Callithrix jacchus: one gene and its partners. The main gene of each other region encodes a partner of the protein of the gene in region 6 in a complex. Links are inferred from orthologs where the notes say so. Each region holds a gene or a part of one and is shown on either strand. Other genes may lie near its edges.

What was found.
Region 1: STRIP2 (region 6) and STK25 share a complex: the UniProt entries of both Homo sapiens proteins name them as parts of the core of STRIPAK complex. The link is inferred for Callithrix jacchus from reciprocal best matches to the Homo sapiens genes STRIP2 and STK25.
Region 2: STRIP2 (region 6) and STRN4 share a complex: the UniProt entries of both Homo sapiens proteins name them as parts of the core of STRIPAK complex. The link is inferred for Callithrix jacchus from reciprocal best matches to the Homo sapiens genes STRIP2 and STRN4.
Region 3: STRIP2 (region 6) and STK24 share a complex: the UniProt entries of both Homo sapiens proteins name them as parts of the core of STRIPAK complex. The link is inferred for Callithrix jacchus from reciprocal best matches to the Homo sapiens genes STRIP2 and STK24.
Region 4: STRIP2 (region 6) and STRN3 share a complex: the UniProt entries of both Homo sapiens proteins name them as parts of the core of STRIPAK complex. The link is inferred for Callithrix jacchus from reciprocal best matches to the Homo sapiens genes STRIP2 and STRN3.
Region 5: STRIP2 (region 6) and STK26 share a complex: the UniProt entries of both Homo sapiens proteins name them as parts of the core of STRIPAK complex. The link is inferred for Callithrix jacchus from reciprocal best matches to the Homo sapiens genes STRIP2 and STK26.

What each region holds. Positions count from the first base shown.
Region 1 is NC_133507.1:162,776,919-162,779,749, reverse strand, and holds the end of STK25 (serine/threonine-protein kinase 25), read left to right. Parts: intron 1-872; coding exon 873-1,009; intron 1,010-1,656; coding exon 1,657-1,696; 3' UTR 1,697-2,331; downstream 2,332-2,831. UniProt on the Homo sapiens protein: Oxidant stress-activated serine/threonine kinase that may play a role in the response to environmental stress.
Region 2 is NC_133523.1:40,701,306-40,704,805, reverse strand, and holds part of STRN4 (striatin-4), read left to right. Parts: intron 1-1,102; coding exon 1,103-1,273; intron 1,274-1,432; coding exon 1,433-1,573; intron 1,574-2,032; coding exon 2,033-2,131; intron 2,132-2,300; coding exon 2,301-2,387; intron 2,388-3,500. UniProt on the Homo sapiens protein: Calmodulin-binding scaffolding protein which is the center of the striatin-interacting phosphatase and kinase (STRIPAK) complexes.
Region 3 is NC_133502.1:14,261,882-14,266,042, reverse strand, and holds the start of STK24 (serine/threonine-protein kinase 24), read left to right. Parts: upstream 1-1,361; 5' UTR 1,362-1,376; coding exon 1,377-1,835; intron 1,836-3,143; exon of another isoform or gene 3,144-3,158; coding exon of another isoform or gene 3,159-3,161; intron 3,162-4,161. UniProt on the Homo sapiens protein: Serine/threonine-protein kinase that acts on both serine and threonine residues and promotes apoptosis in response to stress stimuli and caspase activation.
Region 4 is NC_133509.1:65,326,295-65,329,794, reverse strand, and holds part of STRN3 (striatin-3), read left to right. Parts: intron 1-13; coding exon 14-154; intron 155-3,500. UniProt on the Homo sapiens protein: Calmodulin-binding scaffolding protein which is the center of the striatin-interacting phosphatase and kinase (STRIPAK) complexes.
Region 5 is NC_133524.1:127,582,772-127,586,748, forward strand, and holds the start of STK26 (serine/threonine-protein kinase 26), read left to right. Parts: upstream 1-1,177; 5' UTR 1,178-1,283; intron 1,284-1,382; 5' UTR 1,383-1,491; coding exon 1,492-1,533; intron 1,534-3,977. UniProt on the Homo sapiens protein: Serine/threonine-protein kinase that acts as a mediator of cell growth. Modulates apoptosis. In association with STK24 negatively regulates Golgi reorientation in polarized cell migration upon RHO activation.
Region 6 is NC_133512.1:117,765,271-117,769,548, forward strand, and holds the start of STRIP2 (striatin-interacting protein 2), read right to left. Parts: upstream 2,801-4,278; 5' UTR 2,761-2,800; coding exon 2,632-2,760; intron 1-2,631. UniProt on the Homo sapiens protein: Plays a role in the regulation of cell morphology and cytoskeletal organization. Required in the control of cell shape. Calmodulin-binding scaffolding protein which is the center of the striatin-interacting phosphatase and kinase (STRIPAK) complexes.

The DNA of each region.
Region 1 (2,831 bases), on a different chromosome or scaffold from region 6:
GCTCCCGGGCCTGCCCGTGTTCTCTGGGTTCCCAGGGTGACTTATCTTCTTTGAGTGCAAACGCAGTTGACTCTTCTATAGAGAAAGTGGAGAAGGTGTAGTTGGGGTCCGTCACAGGGCAGGACCTCCCTGCTTAGTCATGTGACGCTACATCCACGTCACCTCCTCATGGGCAGTCAGCACTATCCCCAGAAATGTGATGCAGCCAGGATCTCTGCCCACGGCTTGGCCAGTGGGCTTGGGCGCAGGTGTGCCCTCCAGGAGCCCCATTGGAGCCTGGGAGGGAGGATGAAGGATGTTGGTGAGAGGTGGTGACAGCAGAGCCTGCCTGAGGATGGCAGAGGGTGCAGCATAGTCCAGGGACATTGGCCCCAGGTCAGCGGGAAGCAGCCACTCAGGCCCAGGTCCTGGGCAGCCTACGGATCTAGTCACAGTTCCCAGAGGGTGGGCGATACCCGGTGACAGGGGCTGGTGTCCTGATGGCGGTCAGATCTGGGGTGTGTGTCAGTGGCCTGGTCATGCAGTGAGCTCTGGGAGTTTCTGGGCTTCATGTTTTTTTGGGTCTGATTGGACCCATTCAGTGGCTTCCATGACCCTCAGCGGGGAGGAAGCCATCTGGTCTCCTCCTGACAACCGAGGCCTGAAACTCCCTGGAGTGCAGACGGAGGGTAGGGGGTGTGGGGAAGGACCAGTAGGGTTCCCATTGGCAGGGTGGGGGCAGAGGCGTCCTTGGGCCGCCTTCCTGGCTTGCTGAAGGGCTCCTGGATGTGGGTGTTAGGCGAAGGCCCTGAAGGCCTCTAGCACAACTCTGGCCCAGCAAAGAGGCGGGCTGTCCTGGGGTCCTCGGTCAGGCATGCCTGGTCTCTCCACAGCTCAAAGAGAAGCACAAGCAGAGCGGCGGGAGCGTGGGCGCGCTGGAGGAGCTAGAGAACGCCTTCAGCCTGGCCGAGGAGTCCTGCCCCGGCATCTCGGACAAGCTGATGGTGCACCTGGTGGAGCGAGTGCAGAGGTGAGGGCGGCCCTGCCCTGGGGTCGGGAGAGCGTCCCCACCAAGAAGCAGCTGGATGTGGGGGGAGGTCCAGCAGTCACTTGTGGGCGTGGCTGCATTTGGCACTGTGTGGGTCCACTTCTCTCTGGGAAAGGGTGGCGTGGCATCCTCTTTCTTGTTTGGACGCAGCTCTCAGGGCTGGGAGCCTTTGGGGCTGGCCACAGTGGGAAGGGCCTTTCCGGTCTTAGTGTCTCAGGGACCTGGCCTCAGTGGCCACACGGCCGTCCTCGGCTGGCCTCTGCCTCTCCACCTGGTGGCTCCCAGGAGCTGCTCTGACACGCTAGTAGCGAAACATCAGAGCTGCCCCTGTGCTGGCTCGAGTCAGCAAGGGACAGGGCAGGACAGATACTGGGTCCCCCACCGCCCACTGGGCTTAGGGTCCAGCCACCGCGCCGCTGGCAGATGCACCAAGTCCTGGCCCACACACAGTGACCCCTTCCTGGCACCCCTGGGCAGCAGCTCTCAGGGTGGGTCTGGGCCAGTCAGTGCTGCTCCTGAGACCCTGTGCAGTGGCTTGTCAGGGCTGCCACTGCAGACTGCACACCCAAGAGGCCTTCAGGAGCCTGGGCACAGAGGTAGACGCACAGCGGTGGGCTCTCTCTCTGCAGGTTTTCACACAACAGAAACCACCTGACATCTACCCGCTGAAGCACACTGCTGTTCAGAGAGGGGACAGAAGGTCCTTTGTTTTGTTCTGAGCTCCGTAATAACTGTGCTGACTTGGAAGGTGCCCCATGCTGTGTCGTGCCTGCAGGGACACATCAGATCCTGTGGGCCTCACCTGCCAGGTCACCGTCTCCTACCCCTGCACTGTGCTGTCCTGCACGTCAGGGGATGCTGCTCCACGTGCCCACTGCCCCGCTTCCGCTCCTGGCCCAGCAGTAGAGTCCACAGGGGCTCCAGCAGCCGGCAAGGCCCTCGTGAGTTACGCCTGGCTCTTCTGCAGACTCTCACAGCCCCATGGCTGCTCAGACCAAGGAGCAGAGCAACTATCAGGGCAGCTCTGCCTCCTCCTCCCGTGAGGTGGGGAGAGGCAACGGGGCAGCCCAGAGGAGTGCCCTGGCCACTGTCCTCCTGGGGCCCATCATGGCCACAGATTTGCCCTGTGGTGTTGGATCAGGTACCGTGTCTGCTCATAAGTACTTGTGTCATCCAGAATGTTGTTTTGTTTTTTAAGAAAATGGAATTTACTTGTTTCCTTAATATTCTGAGGTTAATATGTTAGTTTTCATAGAACACTGAGAGGCCCCTGCCACTTTCAATAAAGACCTGACTTGGAGACATGCAGGTGTGTGGCGGGGCCCAGGCCATGCGGGGCTGCTGCGTCCCTGGTCCCGAGTCCTCATCACAGCACGCGGGGACTGCAGCCCAGTCCCCCCTCGGAACTTCCCTGTGACTGATTCCTGGGTTTTGCTGACACTGGAAGGAGAACAGAGCGAGCAGAGGAGTGTGCAGGTGGGGGCAGGTGTTTTTAATCGTCAGACGTGTGAACAAAGCGGTCGCCCATTTACTTCCCACCAGAAGGAATGCTGGGCAGTAATAAATTAGAGGACCCCACCCTCCCAGGGCACAGGGGGACTTTGGCTTCTGCTTCTCCAGAGGTTACGTGGGGAACAGGCGTGGCTTCTGCCAGACTCTTGTGTAGCTGTGACCTGCAGGCCAGGCCCCTGGGGCTGCCAGTTGGTTCACCAGAGGGAAGGTCAGCACGGCTGTGCCACGCTTCTCTGAGAGGGTCCTGGCAGTGGGTGTGCAGGGCACACGCAGGGTCTGCTTTCCAGTGCTT
Region 2 (3,500 bases), on a different chromosome or scaffold from region 6:
GGTGGAGTTAGCTGGGCCAGGCTGGACGGAGTTGGGGCTTTCTTTTTGGGGCAACTAAGAGCTAACTAGGGAAGTGACCAGACTGCCACTTCCATTCAACATCTGTCCTCCTGCTTTCTGCCACCTTTTTTTTTTTTTTCTGAGACAGAGTTTTGCTCTATGGCCCAGGCTGGAGTGCAGTGGCGTGATCTTGGCTCACTGCAACCTCTGCCCCACAGGTTCAGGTGATTCTCATGCCTCAGTCTTCTGAGTAGCTAGCATTAGGTGTGTACACCTATATCCGGCTAATTTTTATATTTTTGGTAGAGACTGGGTTTCACCATATTGGCCAGGCTGGTCTCAAACTCCTGACCTCAGGCGATAACGCTTGCCTCCCAGAGTGCTGGGATTACAGGCGTGAGCCTCCACGCCCGGCTCTGCCTCCTCTTTTGATCATGCATCTGGCCCTGTGCTCCATCTTGTCCGGGCAGAGTTCAGAGGTCTTTGTCTGCTTTCAAGGGGAGGACATGTTAGAGAACAGGCTCACCTGCACAAGGTCAGGGGTCAGTCCCAGACATATTGGCCACCACACCTTCGGTGTCAGCAGGCCAGAGCTGCCAGCATGGACTTCAGCAACCAGGGAGGCAGTGGTTGGACCTCTGAACCACTAGGGGGCTTTGGAGAGACCAAGTGAGGCTCAGGCACTGGGCCGTGGGCTGAAAAGACTGCACAGGCCGGAGCTGGGGCGGACCCTCAGCCAGTACAGGCTGTGTGCCGCTTGTGGGGGCACAGAACCACACTGTTCCTTTTTTCTTAATGGAGACTGAAAAAATTCTGAATTGAGCTTCCAGTTTCTGGGCCCTGCTTGGGGGGACAGCCGTGAATGGAGGGAAATCCCTGCCTTCGGGAGCCTTAGAACCTTCCTTAGAGAGCTAGCGGGCAGTGTGAGCAGCTTCTGTGCTGTCCTGGTGGTGGACAGTTCTGAGGGGCACCAGGGCGTGAAGCGGGTGCACAGGTGATTCGAGCCCAGCCACCTGGGGCTTGGCAGAACTGGGGCTCCAGGCTGTCCAGGGAGGAGCTGGCAGTCCTGACACAGCCCATTTCCTCCCTGCGGTGGGTGCAGACCCAAGCGTGCTGAGCCACGTCCTGGAGGGCCACGGCGATGCCGTGTGGGGCCTGGCCTTCAGTTCTGCCTCCCAGCGCCTGGCCTCCTGCTCCGCCGATGGCACCGTCCGCATCTGGGACCCCAGCAGCAGCAGCCCGACCTGCCTCTGCACCTTCCCCACAACCAGCGGTGAGTGGAGGCTACACCTCACCCTGGAGCTCTACGGGGCTGGAGGCTGTCAGGGTGGTTCCCGCTGAGGCCCCAGGCCTCCCACCCACAGTCCCCCACCCTGGGGCAGGGCTGGATCTGAGGGTCCCTTCAGCAGCCCTCTCTCCCCTGTGCCCTCAGAACACGGGGTCCCCACCTCAGTGGCCTTTACCAGCACCGAGCCTGCCCACATCGTGGCCTCCTTCCGCTCTGGCGACACCGTCTTGTATGACCTGGAGGCTGGCAGTGCTCTCCTCACACTGGAGTCCCGGGGCAGCAGCGGTAAGCGGGCCGACAGCAGCTCATGGAATTGCTCTGTGTCTTCCGGGCCCCACTTCCTCCTGGGGCTTTGATGACCCTCTTGCCAGTCAGCTCAGATGACTCCCCTGCACCCTCGGGCCCTGAGCAGGAAGGAAGTCGAGTCCTGGTGCAGGGCCCCCACCTTCACAGCCAGGGCACTTGGGGGGCCAGGTGGGGAGAGTGTATCAGGGACACCCTATTGGGCCCTCTTGGTAGAGTAGTGGAATTTCATGTTTGTTACTATTCTTCCCCCAGCTCCAGGATGGCCCAGGGGCTCCTTGTGCAGACCCAGCACTGAGGTCAGGGATGGGAGTGGCCTTGCCCAGCCCCTCTCGACATCCAGGCAGAGGCTGGTGTAGGGCTGTCATGCTGCACTTGTGCCTCCGTCCTGGTCTTCCTGATCTTCCCCTTGACATCCTTCTCACCCTGCTTTTCCTTCAGGTCCAACCCAGATCAACCAAGTGGCGAGTCACCCAAACCAGCCTCTCACTATCACCGCCCACGACGACAGGGGCATCCGCTTCCTGGACAATCGGACAGGTGAAGTCCAGCCCATTGTGTTCGTGGAGGGTGGGGAGTGCCAGGGGCAGGCGTCAGAGACGCTCGAGTCCCGGTGGGAGGCCCTGGGAGGGTCTCCTCCAGGTCTTTCCCTCTCCCAGGGAGGCCCAGAGTGGGAGGGGAACCTGCCACCCACCCCCTCTCACCTCAGGTAAACCGGTGCACTCCATGGTTGCACACCTGGACGCAGTCACCTGCCTAGCCGTGGACCCCAATGGCGTATTCCTGATGTCAGGAAGTAAGCTGGGCACACTAGGCCCACTGGGGTTGGGGAGAAGGGGAGGAAGAAGCCTGGGCACTGGCCTCAGGCAAGTGCTCAGGGGGCTTGGGGGCCAGGACTGAAGGAAGCCGGTTTGGGTGAAATGACAGGAGATACGGGGCAGCACAGCACTCCGGGATCAGCTCCCTGGGGCACTGGAGCTGCATCATCTCATTTGGCCTCTAAACAACCTGCACGGTTGGTACTTTTATCTCCAGTTTACAGATGTGGCCCTGACCCTTTGTAACTTGGCGTCAGGGCCTCGTAGCATTGCTCCAGGTCTGCCTGGCCAGTCCCCGCAGGGACTTATGTTCTCCTACCCTCCGTCTCTGGATAAGGGCATCCAGGGCAGCAACAGGCTGTGCTTAGAAGGGATGGAGCGGGATGTGGGTGGGTGGAGAAGGGGGCTGGAGCTTGCTGTGGGGTGAAGGGCAAGGCCTGCCTGGTAAGGCCTGCAGTAGGTGCAGGCATGAGTGCGTGTGCGTGCATAGAGGCGCAGGCCATGGTGATGGAAGCTGTGGCTGGTTCTGCCTCCAGGCCTGTGCTGGCAGCCTCTGGTGGGTGAGGGGCTGGTCGGTGAGGGGCTGGTCAGTGAGATCCAGCCCAGTGCAGAGATTAGTACAGGGTCCGGGTCCCCACAGACAGGCCTCAATTCTGGGGACTGCTAGACAGTGGAAGAAGCTGAGCCTTTGCCCTGCCTAGTCTTCCTGACCCTAAACCGGACGTCTCCTCACCAGGGCCCTGCTCAGGCTCTTGTGGCTACCCCTGCCTCCTGCCTTGGGACCTTCCCCATCTGTTCTGCCTGGAAGGCTCCCTGCATTCCTCCTGGGGCCATTCTGTCCTCACACTGACCCCTGGGTTGCTTTCTTCATTTCCTGTCTTAGCTGCAGCCTCAGTGCTGCTGGGCAGGGAGAGTTGCCTGTTTTGTTCGCTCCCCGCCCCTGGGGCTCAGTGTGCAGTAGCTGCTCAGGAAATGCTGGGGGATGAGATGGACCATGGACAGGAGGGGATGGGGGTTCTCCTTTGGGTGGGCCTCAGGAGGTGATGGGCAGAGGGTGAGGGAGAGGAGAGTTGAGCCCTACTTCCCCGGAG
Region 3 (4,161 bases), on a different chromosome or scaffold from region 6:
CCTGCCCAGCCTTTGCCACAGCGGTCATCTGTGCGCTGTCTTTTAAACAGAACAGTTTTATTTATCGGAAGTTATTCCTGCTCTCTTACCCTTCATCAGTGAAACCCAGAATGACAAGGACTTTAAGACTGGTGGCGCATGCCTGTAGTCCCAGCTACTGAGGAGGCTGAGGCAGGAGAATTGCTTGAACCCAGGAGGCGGAGGTTGCGGTGAGCCGAGATTGCGCCATTGCACTCCAGCCTGGGTAACAAGAGTGAAACTCCACCTCAAAAAAAAAAAAAAAGAAAGAAAAAGACTGGTGTTGAATTGTATTCAGATCTTAAGCAATTTCTGTGACCTCCCAATTTCTTTAAACTTTCATGTTTCTTTTTTTAGCTTAAAAAAAAAATGAGTTAACATTTTTTCTTGAATGCTTTCTCTTTTTTTTATATTTTCATTTTGTTGGTTTTCCTTATGGAAAGAATTGTTTACAAGTCATGCGGTAATTACGGTATTTGGTGTAATGTAATGCAGGATGTTTCATCTAATATAGAAAGACATTTGCTGCTTTTTAGCTTCTTTATTATTATCCGTATTGATTTAGGGTAATGGATTTGAGTTGTCTAATCACTGACTTTGAGCAGCCGGGAATAAGCTTAAAATCATCTTCCTGAAGCCAAGTCTGGCATTTTTTGATCTGCACATGTGTACATTAGAAATTGCGATGTTGGAGCTCTGCTTTTCCCACAGTGTGCATCTGTGAGACAGGCTCATTGTTAGCAACAGGGACAGTGCAGAAAACACAGATAAGAGAAAAACGTACTGTTAGCATTTCAGTGTACATCATTCCACCTTTTTCTTTGGATGTGTAAATAAGTAACCCTGTCCCCCAACCAAAAGGGGACCAATTCCTGTAATTTTACATTGATGTTTACCTAGGGAGTTTGCAGCTTTAAAAAAATTTTTGGAAAATTTTGATGGACCTATGAATCTTTCCACTTGTCTTATTATTTCTCTAGTAGAAACTGACCGGAAGGGGGGTTTTGCCTTTTACTTATTTTCATTTTCTGATCACTTTTACATCTTTTTAGTGCTTCTACTCTTAGGTAATACAGTTTTCTTTATGTCATTGTTTTCTACTTTTTGCTGCTTTTAATATGAGGTTTATTAGTGATTTTTATTACCTTCATCTCTAGCTGTGTTAATGCTTTTTGGAGATTTTAAAAAAAGGATTATCTGGATTGTCTGTAATTTCTTTGAGTTGAGAGCAGTATTTTTCTGAAATGTTTCCCCTCTCCCTTGGGAATTTGGAAATATTTTCCTTTTGTTTTCTTTTTTACCACTGCCTTTCCTCCACTCGTCAGCGTGGATTCCTTTGGCTTAGGAGGGGACCTGCCATGGGCCGGGCGTGGGGTGAGCGCGGAGGGGCGGGAGCACTGCCTCCTGGGGCAGGTGGCTCTGTCCTCTTCTTTCTCTCCAGCCTGCCCTGCCTTCTGCCTGTGGGCTGTGCCAGCGCCTGCTCTTCTCCGAGGGATGAGATACTCCAGGGGCCTGTGCCACTCCCGGTGGCACCCTCGCATGCTCCCCAGGTGAGGGGTGAGGGCCCAGTTGCCTGGGGCCCACAGCGAAAAGCTGGCCTCTCTACTAGGAAGCCTTCCTGGTTAGGGAAGTGGAGATGCCCTCGTGGACCAGGCCTGCTGGGTGCCTCTGGATCTGCAATTGGGTTCCCACAGGAATGGTACCTGCCATCTCAGCCCCACGTGCCAAGAAAAGGACCTCAGTTTCCCAGCCGCCTGCCCCCTTGCAGGCCTAGGGTCCTGATGTGTTCTCAGTTCTCCCCTCAGCCTGGAGCAGAGGTCAGTGCCTGGCTATGTTACCTGTGGGTTCCGGTTCCGGTAGTTCCTACATTTATTGCAGATGGACTTTTCTTCTCACGCTCCTTCGTTTATTAACGTCAGTGTGGGCCAGAGCAGCCTAACATAATGCGCCTTTCATTTGATGGCTTTTACTGGAAGCCTCTTCATAGCTATTTTTAAACCTGGTGTCCACTAACGTGACTCCAAATTACAGCCAGGATTCTCATACTTGCCAATTTACATTGTGTGGTGTTCTTATGAAGCCTAAGATCAAAAAAGACCCAGAAGTGAAATCAAGTTTCTTTTGTATAGTATGTGGCTTACGCATGTGTTTGACTGAGTCTGCTGGGTACGGAGTCGTGGACGGCAGCTTCTGGTAGCAATCATTCAATTGAAGCCATTGATGACCCACACTGCATCTGCAGGCTGGTAGCTCCTGTCTCACAGTTCGGGGGTGTCCTGCATCCTGTCGTAGTTCTCCGCCATCCTTGGGGGCCAGTTGGGAGTAGAGGGCTTCCGGGCCACACTGTGGGGTCTCCTGTTGCTGCCTCCCCTGCATTCTCTGTCTCTATGCAGCGATAAGATGGCGTCTTCGGGTCTACACCCACCCTTGCCTCACCTGCTGCTTCTCAGCTGCTGTCAGTGGAGCCCAGCTGTTGGACCTTTCGTAGCCTGTGCCTTTATCACGCACCAGAATGTCCTGAGATCAGGACTGAGGCTCCCTGTGAGAGGTGCGGTTTGGGTGGGCCGGGAATTTGGGGCAGCTGTGTTTGTGCTTGGAGGCCTTTTTTTATTTTTGCTTGGTGCTTCTGGAGGATTGAGATTTCTCAGATCTGAGCACAGAATCAAAGTTGAGTTGTGCTTGAATCATTGAGAGAGCTAGAGTTAAGTAAATGTATGCAGACTTCCTGTTGGGTCCAGCTGGGGAGCGCATTTGTTGCATTTGGTTTGCCCTTCAAGTGTTTAGTTATCTTTTTTTTTTTTTTTTTGCTGGGGGTGGGAACAACTCCGTAGGGCACTTGGGTAGATAGGATTTTACCGAAGCTGTGAACTTTGGAGGATGGCATCACTGGTCTTCTCCTCCCAGCTGGAGCACAGCCTCAGCCTCTCTCCTGTGCCCCGGCCTTTGCAGGCACCTCTAGGCCCCGGGGGCTCCCGCACTTGGCCGGCTGCTGTTTTCTGCTACAAGGAGGGGTGAGTCTGAGACTTTGTACTCTGTCCCATTGTCTCCACAAATCTACCTGTTCCTGTCAGGCCGTGCGTTCTGGTGTTGAGTTTGGAAATGATGGGATCTGGATTTCAGCTGACCTCTTGCAGACATACATGGTGAGTGTTGGTACTTGGACGTGTAGATAGAAAAAGTAGGGTAAAAGACAAACTCATAAAAAGTAGAGTCCACCGTTAGCCTTTTAGGGGCTGTGGTCTGTTTTACTTCCCATCGCTTTCACTCCAGGAACAAGGGACTAATAGGGAAAGGAACCTAGGAGCCGGAAACTGAGCATTTATTAGGCGCAGCCCTGTGATGTTAAGGCGTCTGTTAATCTGAAGTGCGTGAACTACCTTATAGGTCTGGGAAGCCATTCATATTTATATGCTAGTTTCCTGAAAAACAGAAAGGGCTGCATGAGTATTTGGGGTTACTGTGTTATCACTTGAGTTGACTCCTGAGTTTTTGAGGCTGGCCCTGTTCTGGTTACCCCCATCAGTAAAAGGCAGGGCTGGGAGGAAGTCGGAACCAACCAACTGGAGAGAGAGAGAGGGGGAGAGAGGGAGGGGGAGGGAGAGAGGGGGAGGGGGGAGAGAGAGAGTGTGTTTGTGTGTGTGTGTGTGTGTGTGTGTGTGTGTGTGTGTATATATACGCGAACGGAGGATGAATGTATTGTTTTTCCCTTAACAGACAAGAGAGTTGGCTAGAACGGTCCCCACTCAGCAATATTTATTTAGGTTTGCACACCTTCCAAAATGTTACTTATTTAAGTCCCATTTACAATACTTAAAAATGGCTGGCATACCAGTCAGTGCTGGGGTCGGTGGAGTGTGGTGCCAAGAAAATATTAAATCATGAGAGCTGATTACCATGCCCAGAAAATAATGCAGTCTTGTGAATGACCTTTGTCTTCAAGCCAGGATAAGAAATGAGTTATAAACGGTCCGTGGTTAAAGTCCCAGTGGGTCCTTGGAGAACAGCAAGTGGAGATGGAACGAGCAGCCTTTGACTCACTTGTGTTCTGTGTCCTTTGATCTGTGCCAAGGAAGACATCATACTTAGCAAGGATTGCTTTGAAACGCACGGTTTTATTTTCTCAGCTAAATATCGTAGCAGCAG
Region 4 (3,500 bases), on a different chromosome or scaffold from region 6:
GGGTTCATTTCAGATCATGGAATACCTACATCAGTTGACTTTATAGGCTGTGATCCAGCTCATATGGTAACCTCTTTCAACACTGGTAGTGCAGTAATTTATGATTTGGAAACTTCACAGTCATTGGTGATACTTTCATCACAGGTAGATTCTGGTAAGTGTTCGTGGAGTTTGTTTGAAACCTTGAAAAGGATTATTATACAATAGAGAGTGATCTTTTAGCTAATTTTCACATTTTGACTACTTAAATTTAGGATGGCAAAATTGTTTCATAATGTTACAGTTATATTATTTCTGCTTTCTTCAAATTGTGCTTAAAAGCTTGGGTGTACATAAGAGAAAAGAGGAATGACTAGAGCAATATGAAGGTGAAAATAGAGAAAATAACATAATGAACCTGACATATTCATAATTCAGCTTAAATACTTGTCTATAAATGTCCAGTATTGTACATGCAGTATATGGTGTGTGTTTTAGAGTTTATTTAGATAGGATCACATAAGATTTATGTATTGCGATTGGTTGATAGGTCTTTCAGGTCTCTCTTTATCCATGGATTCCCTTTGCTCTCTTTTATATTCCTTTTTTTTAATTGAAGAAATTGGCTAGTTTGTCCTGTCAAGTTTCCCACAGTCTAGATTTTGCTAGTTGTATCCCTGCGTTAGTTAACGTGCTTCTCTATTTCCTGTGAATTAATTGTAGATCTAGAGACTTATTCAAATTCAGATTCACTGGTTCTTTTCCCCTTTTTAAAATTTTAAAATGTTTTTGGCAACTCTACTTCATAAGTAATTTGTGAGCTTTTATCAGAAGTAAGTATTTTCTGGTTGTGTATGTTTTTGTGATGCTTTCAGTCTTGATTATTGCCTGGGTTCATTAATTCATTTTCTACCGAAAAATGATTTCCTAATTTTATTATTCCCTCTCCATTTATTAGCTAGATTATTCCTATAAAAAGGAACATCTCCTTATCAGTAATTTGGTTATCTTGGGGTTAGTGTGTATTAAGGAAAGGCAAGGTAAATGATTGGGTTTTGGTTTTCACCTTTATTTACCAGTTTTCAAAATAATGAGGTGGTTTGCTAGCACCCTCTACAGGTGACCAGTTTGTCTTGCGTGTTGTTTTTGGTATCATGGTACTGTCTCATGGATGTAAATGTATTTGATGTGTTTGAATTCATTGCAGGTATAATTTTTATCCCTGCTCAGATCCTTTCATTTTGGCCAGTGGGGCTAATTCAGTGGGGCTCAGGTTGGCTCCTCAGTCCTTTTGCCATGACCCTGGTAGTTGTTGGTAGCTTACTGATATGACATATGACAAGATGTTTTAGGTTCATCTTGTTCATTTTGTGCCCCCAGATCTGAAATCAGCTCTTTATCTAAGGAGTTGTGGTTTCTTTGAGTGGGAAATGGCATTTAGAGACTACAGTTGGGGTGCTAGGCTGTTGCGTTGATCCTCATGGTCTTCATGGCTCCTGCGTTGTTCATTAAGTTAGGGTTTTTCAATGGACAGAGCTAGTAAATAAGCATTTTTTAAAAAGTAAAATACCTCCACTTCAAATTCAGATTTATTTTGGTTCTCAACACAATTGTTTCTCATTTGATTTATCCCACAGTATACACAGAGTCGTCTCAATAATAATACCGTTACCACCAAAAGACTGACTATTGATAATAAAACTTTGTACTTAACTATGTTCCACTAGGGATATACAGTCTAATTACTGTGCTTTAAAGTCATTGGAAGTTTCTTCCTTTGTAGCTATACCACCAGTTGGATATACTAAAGTTCGTTTGTTTAATTTTATTTTTGATTTTCATTAATTTGTTTTAGAAAAACAACTGTCAGCTGGGTGCATTAGCTCATACTTCTAATCCCACCACTTTGGGAGGCCAAGGCAGGAAGATAGCTTGAGGCTGGGAGCAGAGACCAGCATGGGTGGCTGAGTGCAGTGGCTCACACCTATAATTCCAGCACTTTGGGAGGCCGAGGCGGGCGGATCACAAAGTCAGTAGATCGAGACCCTCCTGGCCAACACGGTGAAACCCTGTCTCTATTAAAAATACAAAAACTTAGCCAGTCGTGGTGGTGCGTGCCTATAGTCCCAGCTATTCGGGTTGCTGAAGCAGTTGAATCACTTGAACTTGGGTGGTGGAGGTTGCGGTGAGCCGAAATTTCACCACTGCCCTCCAGCCCGGGCAACAGAGCAAGACTCCGTCTCAAAAAGAAAAAAAAAAAAAAAAGTTTAAAAAAAGAAAAAAAAAAATAGATCGAGACCAGCCTGGGCAACATAGTGAGACCTCATCTCTACCAAAAACTTAAAAAATTAGGTGGGCATGTTGATAGTGCCTGCAGTCCTAGCTTTGGAGACTGAGGCAGAAGAAGCACTTGAGCTCAGGAATTCAAGGTTACCATGAGCTATGATTGCATCACTGCACTCCAACCTAGGTGACAGAGTGAGAGACCTTGTTTCTTAAAAAAAAAATTGTTTTATAATTATGTAAGATATTTACATGGTGCCATGGTCAGATCTTAAACCAAAATTATTTTCTAAGGTCTCTGTCCCAGTATCTCCTCAAACCTTTTTTTAAAAAATTACCCTACATAGGTAACTATAACTCTCTGTGTGTGTGTGTGTAGATATATATTTTATGCGTTTAGGTGTATGAGTTGCGGTACACATATAGAATGATCTAAAGTCTATTAATATTGAAGATTTTTCTCTAATTTATTTGTTTTGATATTTCTCTGTTCTCCATCTTTAATTAAAAAGTAACAGCTTACTGGTTGAAAAAATCTCATCTTTAAAGAGCGTTAATTCAGTTTTTTGTCTTTTTTTGTTTTTGTCAGTGTAGGTAGGATGGGGATTGTTCCTTATAAACGTCTGACTAGCAGTTATGAATGTTTTCCTTCTTTAAAGGCTTATAATTATTTTATGGCCGGGTGTGGTGGCTCACGCCTGTAATTCCAGCACTTTGGGAGGCCGAAGTGGGTGGATCACAAGGTCAAGAGATTGAGACCCTCCTGGCCAACATGGTGAAACCCCATCTCTACTAAAAATATAAAAATTAGCTGGGCCTGATGGTGCGTGCCTGTAGTCCCAGCTACTCAGGAGGCTGAGGCAGGAGAATTTCTTGAACCTGGGAGGCAGAGGTTGCAGTGAGCCGAGATCGCGCCACTGCACTCCAGACTGGCGCCTGGCGACGAAGCAAGACTGTCTTAAAAAATAAATAAATAAAAATAAAAATTATTTTATGGACTCTTTATTAGACGTAATAATTGTAGATCTTTTAAAAATTCTAAACTACCTATAATAAAGAGCTGCATTAAAACACTGCTCATTTTTTCTAAACTTGAGCCTAGTACAGTCTGTATTATAGGACGTGATAATGTAAATACTTATTTTTTTTTTAATCTAGAGTCATTGTTCTCAGATATTTTGTTTTATGCAAAAGGTTTGGTTTTTAATTATTTGTATATTGGAGCATGATTAAAAAGG
Region 5 (3,977 bases), on a different chromosome or scaffold from region 6:
ACACAGAAAGCACTTAGCAGTCTCTGGCACAAAGAAGATGACATCCATTAATGATAACGATATTGATAAGAATCATATATTATTCTCTGAAAAAGATGTAAAAGGAAGAAGAGAAACTACTATTTACCACTAGAGGCCCCCCACCGTGTGGTGGTTAGAGACCCAAAACAAACTTCAAAGTAAAGAACTTCATTTTAAACTGGCATTCGACTATTACGTTTTTAAAAAGTAATTAACCCCTTATGTGTTCCCAAAGGTGCCTTCATAATGAAATTCCTGTTGCTATTATTACCAGTGTTACTGTCGCTGTTAGAGTACTCTCAAAAGAGCCTGTCTCCCTCCCGCAGTGGAACTTAAAATGCGGCGGAGGCAGGGAGTTACCAAAATCGCTGCTGTGTATGCCGAATTCAACAACCTGTACTGCTGACGATCCAATCTCATTTCCCAAGCCTCTACTATCCTCATTAACTTTTCTGCTGATATAACATCTGCTTTCCATTTTCCCTCTGCCTTTACACGTGCAGAACTTGTGGTAGAGAGAAGCCCCAGTTTGGCCGTCCTGCAAGTGATAGCCAAAGAGGTAGGGGGAACCTTAGGTTAGAAGTCATCTGAACCATGTCTGGGGTCGGGGAACTCGTAAAGCTTGAGTGTGGCTACTGGTCTGCCCAGAGGAGCAGCCCCCAGCTGAGGAGGCCAGATGGCGGGAAAAAGCGGGGGCCGCCGACTCCGCGGCTGTGATCCCGCCCTAGGCCAGGCCGGGGAGCCAAGAAAGACTTCCAACACTCCCAAGTTTCAACTCAAGTCGTCTCCGAGGGTGCGTGTGCCCCAGCCTCGCACGCCCGCCTGCAACAAGGTCGCATCTAGGACGCCCTCATACCCTCAGGGTTTCCCAAACTCTTCCATTCTCTTCCCAGGCCCAGCCGTGTTCCAGGTCTCCCGTTCGCCGGGTTCTCCTCACCCCATGCCGGGAGAGTCTCCAGCTTCTCAGACTCCAGCAACCCCAGCCAAACCCCTTCGCTGCCTGGAGCCTTGGCTCCCGCGACACCGCCCGGCTGCGGGGCGGGGGCAGGGCCAACGGCGGAACCGCCCCCAGCCGCCTCCCGGGCCAGGCAAGCAGGCGGGTGGCTGGGACGCCTCCACCTCCTCTTCCTAAAGCGGCGAGGCGCAGAGGAGCGGCATCACTCGAGCCCAGGTCCCAGCCACCACCACTCACAGCGCTCGGCGTTCAGGAAGAGGAGCAGCAGCGGAGGCGGCTGCTTCAGTGGCGGGCGGGCGCCAGAAAGGTAGACTGAGTCCCAGGGAGCCCCGCCGCGAACAACCCACCTCCCAGCCCGGGCTACGCGCCTCCAGCCCAGTAACCCCACTTCTGTGTGTCCTTCCAGGCCCCTAACGACAAGCCTGGGAGGGCCGCCGAACTACCCCTGGAGGAGGAGCCAGTCCGAACTCAAGGCGCTACCGCCGCAGAAGCGGAGCGAGGCTACAGTCGCCTCCATGGCCCACTCACCAGTGGCTGTCCAAGTGCCTGGGATGCAGGTGAGGAAGCGCAGGCCGCCCCCCGCCGCCCACGTGACTGCTTGGGAGCCCGGAGCGCTCTCGGTGCTGGGCACCGACGACAAGGGACGGCCCCGGGACTCCCCTGAGGGCTGGGCCGGTCACTCTGGCCAGGTGACCTGGGAGTAGGGCTTGAGGTGTTTCCTGGTGTGTAGGCTAGGTGGTGCTCTTCGCTGGGAAGGCGAGGCGGGACTGGAGCGCGCAACTAGGTGGGGATTGAGGGCGGCTGTGGGGTATAAAAATAGGCCAGAGCCACAGACACCTGCGCCTGTGGAGCTTGGCACGGTTGGGGATGGGAGGGGGGGAGAACTTAACCTGCGAGACATGAAAGTGCCTTGGAAGTTGTGGGGTAAAACGCGAGTAGTGAGTGCCCTACAACCCCCACCCCAAACACGCACTCAAGCTGGGGCGGGGCAAGACCAGGGGTGTCGGCGGCAGCTTGAATTGGGCTCTTCCTGTGTGCGTAGGGCTGAGAGAGAGAGGTGACCTCTTTCTCCCTTTCGGTACTGCTGCTTAAGGGCAAAGTTGTATCTGGCTCCCCGACCTGGCCCAGCCCATAGCGTGGAGCGAGAAATGTTGGTCCTGTTCAGAGTCGCTGAAGTGATGAGTTCCCAGCCCCCCTCCGTGCCTTTCCCACGAGATGACTTACATGTGGTTAAAGTAAGCATATTGTCCTGGACAAGGGACTACTGCATGGGACCCAACTTCTTACTCAAAGTCTACCCAGCCCAACCCCCTCCCATTATATTTTCATTTTATTAAAGGTAAGCCATGTTGGAAAACTTCTCATGCTGTTATGTTTTTAAATCGGTGCACTTTAGGCTATCTGCTAAATGTTATCCAAATCTACCAACTTTTTAAAGTATTCACTTTTTTTCCCTTTGCTAGATAGCCCAAACAACCCATTTATGAATAGTTTAGAGGCTAAAAACAAGAAAGCCTCAGTCTCTCATGATCTAAAAATGTGAAAACAAACTTTTTTCAAGTTCAGAAATAAAATGTTTAGAGTAGCAAATAGCTTATATTTACTGTAGACTTGGGCCTCAATTTACTTATTAGCAGTGTTCTCATTTTATGCATGCCCACAAAAGTGATTTTAAAATTATTTCCCAGAAAGGGATCATTTGTGCACCTAGAACTCCTGGTGTGTCCTAAACATCAGACATTTCAGCTGCATTTAGGGCAAGTCTGGGTTGAGTCTCAGGAAGTTAGTGTATATTAAAGAGAGAGAAAGGGAAATAGGAAATAGTAGGGCTTAAGAAAAAAAAAAGATTAATCCATTCAAGCCTTGCAAAATGTCTCAGACTTTCTTCCTCTCAGGCGGCCTCCCCTCTCTTCCCCCCCCTTTTCCCCACACACCCTGTCCCACACCCCATTCATTCAGTTCTGCCTTTGATTGTATCAAGGGAATTCATAGTTTGCAATACTAAGTACAGTTTTGCCGTCGGATCTGGGAAAAAGTGACATTTTCCCACCGTGCTCTTCTTTCCGTTCTATGGAGAGTGGAACGATGCACACGTGAAGTTTGTCTCTGAGGGTCTCCATGCTTCTCGCTCCATTGTGTGCGTGAGCCTGCGTGTGTGCGTCAGCAGAGTGAGTGCCTCCCGTTCTCAAGTTTGTGATTCTGGGGAACTCTGTGTGCTAAGGAGAAAATAGTTTCCGATCTTTACTTTATTTGTCTTGACCTTATTGAATTTATATGGTTTAGGAACTGCTTACTGTTCAGTATTTCTAAGTGCTGTTCCCTGCTTTGTTTAAAGATCTGAGTTGCCTATCTCTTGAATATTTACATCTTAATTAATGTGGATTCGAATGTGAATCACATACTTTAAATTACAAACTCTGCCTTTCACTGCTGTCTGAATTCTGATTACTTTGTCCCATCTAATCTGAGTAGGGCAAACATCTCAATGTTAGCAGAGAAGAGAGGAATTATTATTATTTTTATTTTTTGGTCATTCTCTTCATCTTAATGAAATGGTAAATTCTTCTTATTTCCATTTTCTTTCTAAATGTACTTCTTAAGCACTTTGTGCAACACATAGTTTTTTCCATAGTTGAAATTGTACAATACCCTAATAATAAATGTGAGAGCACGCAGTGTGACTCTTGAACCTAGACTATTTCTGTTATTGTTATATAGCAAAATATTGCGGATGAGATGCAGAAATTCGTTGCAAGCTTGTAAAATGCTCCTAGAGTTTTATGAAAGCCTTAGGAGCAACTTTTAGATTTTTAGAAAACTTGAGTTAGCCATGTGTTCTTGAAATTACTGTATGGTGTTTCCACAAATCAGGGTGAGGTGACCGGCCAGCCTATAACTTTTTAACAGTTTATTTTAGAGAATTATGAAGATTGATGGGAAAAACGATTTTTCCAGAAATAAAAACAAAATTATCCACAATTTTTTTCTCCCTCTGAGGAGA
Region 6 (4,278 bases):
AGAGACGGGGTCTGCCTACATTTCCCAGGCTGGTCTCGAATTCCTGAGCTAAAGCTATCCTCCTGCCTTAGCCTCCCAAAGTGTTGTGATAATAAGCATGAGTCATCATGCTGGGTTATCTCTTAAAATAAAAATTTTAGCCTCAACAGGTTGCCCCCATAGCAGTTTCAAAAACATTGTTTTAAATTGTGTACATCCTTAAATTAATATATTGAACTAAATTTTTACAAAAACTCACTTTGATGACCCGAATTTTCCACATTTTACCACAGACCAGTTAAAACTCTGTCAAGGAGTTTGAGATCAATAAACTAGATCTGGCTAAAAGAGGCCTGAGGTGAATCCTTTTGTTAGGTTAGGACTCTTCTTATTAAGCAAACAATTACTCTTTAGCTTTCTTTTTAGGTTGGGATGTTCACAGGCTAAGCCACTGGGAGAAGGTAGGTCAACGGTGTTCCCATAAACAGTGATACATGATGAGACTCTCTTGACTTGTGCCTCAGTAATTCTCTTCTAGTGATTTTCTAAAAGCCCTAGAGAGGGGGAAAAAAAAACACCTATCTCCTCTAAGGACTGCCTTTCACAGGAAAGCAAAAAAGAGGGAGAGAAGAAAAGCAGATCTCGCATCTGGGTACTGTGGTGATAGAGGAGGCACTGGCAGGTAAAAAGAGTTCTGCTGCAGCAGAAGGTAGAGGAAAGTTAATCTTTCCAGCCAGGCTTTTGGCAGGCAATGAGCCCAGCCAGAGATGATCGCTGCAGTTGTTCATTTCCAGGCATGAAGAGTGCAGCTGCAGCCGATCAGCAGGTAAACTGCAGTGCAGGTGGAAAGCTTTTAAGTCTCTGGACACTGCAAAGTACTGGCAAAAGACCACACTATCAGAGCCTTTGCCTGAAGAAGACTTGACAGGCGGGGAACAGATTGCAACTTTAGAAGGGACATCCAGGGAGAGACTTTTATTCCCCCATAGAACATATCATTCTGAAATTATTTTATTTGCTCACAATTTGTCTCTCCACAGCCAAAGACCCTATGTTGTTCCCTGATGCATCCCTAACATCTAAAACAGTGGCTGGCAGATAGAAAGTCCTCGATAAATAATTGTTGAATTAATGAATGGCTCATCTCCCCAAAAAACATTTGAGTGAGAACAATGTCTCTGTAGGGGAAGGAGGTCCAGGGTGCCCTAAAAGACCAGACTCATCTTGAGGTAGGGAGGGAGATGATGTGGTGGATATAATCTAGCAAGACAGGAGGGCTGCGCTCTGCCTCTGCAAGATGATGACTTTGAGCTGGTCTTTTTACCTCCACTTCTACCTTAAAAAAAAAAAAAAAAGAATGGATTCCTCCTACTCTGCCTACATCAAAATGGGAAGCATACATGAAATCACTTTGGAAACTGAAATGCTATTCAAATGGTAAGGCAAGATCTGGGCTGCCAAAGACCTGGCTTCTAGAACCAGCTCTACCACTTGATGATGATGATGATGACAATAATATACTAAGAGTTACTATGTGCTGACCAATTACATGCATTGTGGCTGCACTGTGCCAAAAAGTTTATAGTCAATTATCTCATTTTCACTTTATCACAACCTTCTGAGGCAGGCAGTGTTAATTTCATTTTACAGATGCAGAAACCAGAGCTCAGAGGGGTTGGGTAATCGCACAGGTAGTAAATGATAGGGCTGGGATTCAAAACCTGGTCTGACTGACTCCAAAGCCTGGTGTTCCTGACCACAAACTGTGCCAGATGTCTGATCTTTGGCAAGTCACTCCCGTTCCTTTTAGGTCTGTAAAATGAAAGGGCCATAGCAGATGATCTCTGCAGACCCCGCCACATGTGACATTCTGTCGTCTATTCTGATCCCCGCTCCTAGATGAGGGGGTAGGGGAGTGTGCATAATTCGATGCTTTCATCTTCCGAGACAGGATTTGTTCTTTAGGAGAGGAGGAAGAGATGGAAATCCTCCTACTCCTATCTGTATGCTGGGACTGCTCCCGCCAGATAGCGACCCCTGGGCTGCGGAATCCCGCCTCGCTCAGCCCTCACAGGCAGGGGGCCTGATGTCCGCGAAAGGCGCTCCCGAAGCCGCCTAAGACTTGCAGGGAGAAGCGGGCAAGCAGGCGGCGGGCAGAAGTCCCCCGGCCAATGCGGACCGGCCCCGGGGCCCGCCGCAGGCAGCGCGGGAGGGGGAGGGCGGCTGCCCCACTCGCCAACCCGGCCTTCCCGCAGCTGAGCTCCGGCCTCCCACCCCTCAAGCCGGTCACTTAACCTCTCCGCTCCCGCTCCCCCATCTATAAACCGGGATCGGAATTTCTGCTTCAAGGAGCTGCAGCGATTAAGTGAGATAAATATTTGTAAAGTATTTGGTCCGTTCAACGTAGCCCTCATCTTCGTGCATCGAGGGGAGGCCACAGGGCTAGAAAGACCCCAATCCGCGGCAGGAGACGTGCGGACGAGGGTCGGGGCTGCAGAGCCCAGTGTCCAGCAGCGGGGACCCCGCAGGCGCACACTGCGTGGGGCTGACGAAGCGCGCCGAGGGCTCCGGGGCCAAGGCCGAATCGCCTCAGCCGCTGCTTCCCGCCCGCGGGCGTCTCCGGGCCCCAACCGAAGCTCGGGGGCTCCTCACCTCTGACTCCCGCCGCTGGCTTCGGAACGCTTCGCGGCCCTTGGGCGCCGCCTGCTTCCCTTTGCCGCCGCCGTTGCCGTTGCCATTGGCGGGCGGGACTCCGTTCCCAGGCGCGGCGAGGTCCTCCATGAAGCTGGTCAGCGGCTCCCCTCAGGGTTCAGCTTGCTCTGCCCGGGGAGACCACACAGCCGCGCGCCGGGAGCCAGGCCCGCCTCCTCCGCCACTATTGGCTACAGATGCTCTCCGCGGCCCCGCCCCGCGAGGCAATTGGCTGCTCCACCGGCCTGAGCGGGACTCGAGGAGGTGGGGGCTCATTGAAGAGATTTGGGGGGATCTTCTCAGTCCTGCGGCACTGCTGGCAGCCGGAGACTCCTAGGTTAGCTCCAGGCTCCACACCCCCGGAATGCGGGGCCTTGAGCTCCGGCGGGTAATCTCAGTGCTCCTCACTCGGTGTCTTTCAGCATTCACCCCGCCCCCTGTAGCGACCTTTTCCGTAGCTCCAATCTCCGCCTCCTGCTCCACCGCAGTCTCTGTTTCCCTAGTATCATCGACCCGGACCCCCAAATCCCGGCTCCTGCACGCGTCCCACATCCCGCTTAGTCGCGGGGGAGGGATGGCACCACCAAGTGGCCAGGGACACCCCCCCCGAAACGAGGGACTCGCTGTCTCCGGAAGCTGAGAATTCTCAGTGTTTCTCTGAAGAGAACGCATCTCTCCCGGAGCGAGGGCTTGGCTGGGAGACTGGGGGTCAAGGATTGGGATGGGGACGTTTTTCCATTACTGAAATTGCTGGTGGCTTCGGGGCTGCTCCTGTCATCTGTCTTTTCTGCTGTAGGGGCCTCTTCCTCATGGTGTGAGCTGGGCAGCAGATGTTGAGTGCAGAGCAAGTCCCCACCCTCACCGGCTCGCCAGTCCTTTCCTTCCTTCCTCTCTCTTTTCTAAGATGCTTCCTAAGGGCTCAGTGTTACTGGAGGCAAAGGAGGCTGTTTGATCTGCCCTCCCTGAATTTAAAAAGCAGCTTGTAGGAAGTATATAGACAGTCTGACTTGGTAATAGAAGCCCCGAAGACCTAGGCTCCGGGGAACGGGTGGAACCAAATCGCTCTCCCCGGCCTGGTTGCTTTAGGAAGGGTCTGGGGCGTTGTGCTTGGTGCCAGGAACTGCAGTAGGCGCTTTCCAGATATCACATCGTACTCCCCGACAGGGTATTTTTACGAATCCGGTGTTACTGATGAGGAAACTGGCCCTTGCAGATTCCTCCCTGCAGTTCCCAAGGTATATTCTGTCGTCTCAGGGTCTTTCCCGTGCTGTTCTCTGGAGGAGACTGTCTTCTGCTCCCCTGGTTGATTCCTTTTCTCCCATAAAGATTCTAGTTAGTTATCACCTCCTTCACAAAGCTTTCCTTTGGCCCTCAACTCACTCAGGCTGTATTGGTGTCAAGCCAGTTCTGCCTGGAACCAAAATCATAACATTTTCCACGATATACCCAAAGCAAGGGGCCTAAAGGAATTACTCCACCTTCCCAAATCTTAGAGACAACTCTGTCCCTTTCTTACCATCTCTCTCACTTTTTTCCCTTTGTCAGTTTGTAGGTGAAAGAACAAGTTTAAGAGCACTCTTTGGAGCTTTTTGGGTTTTCTCTCCCTGA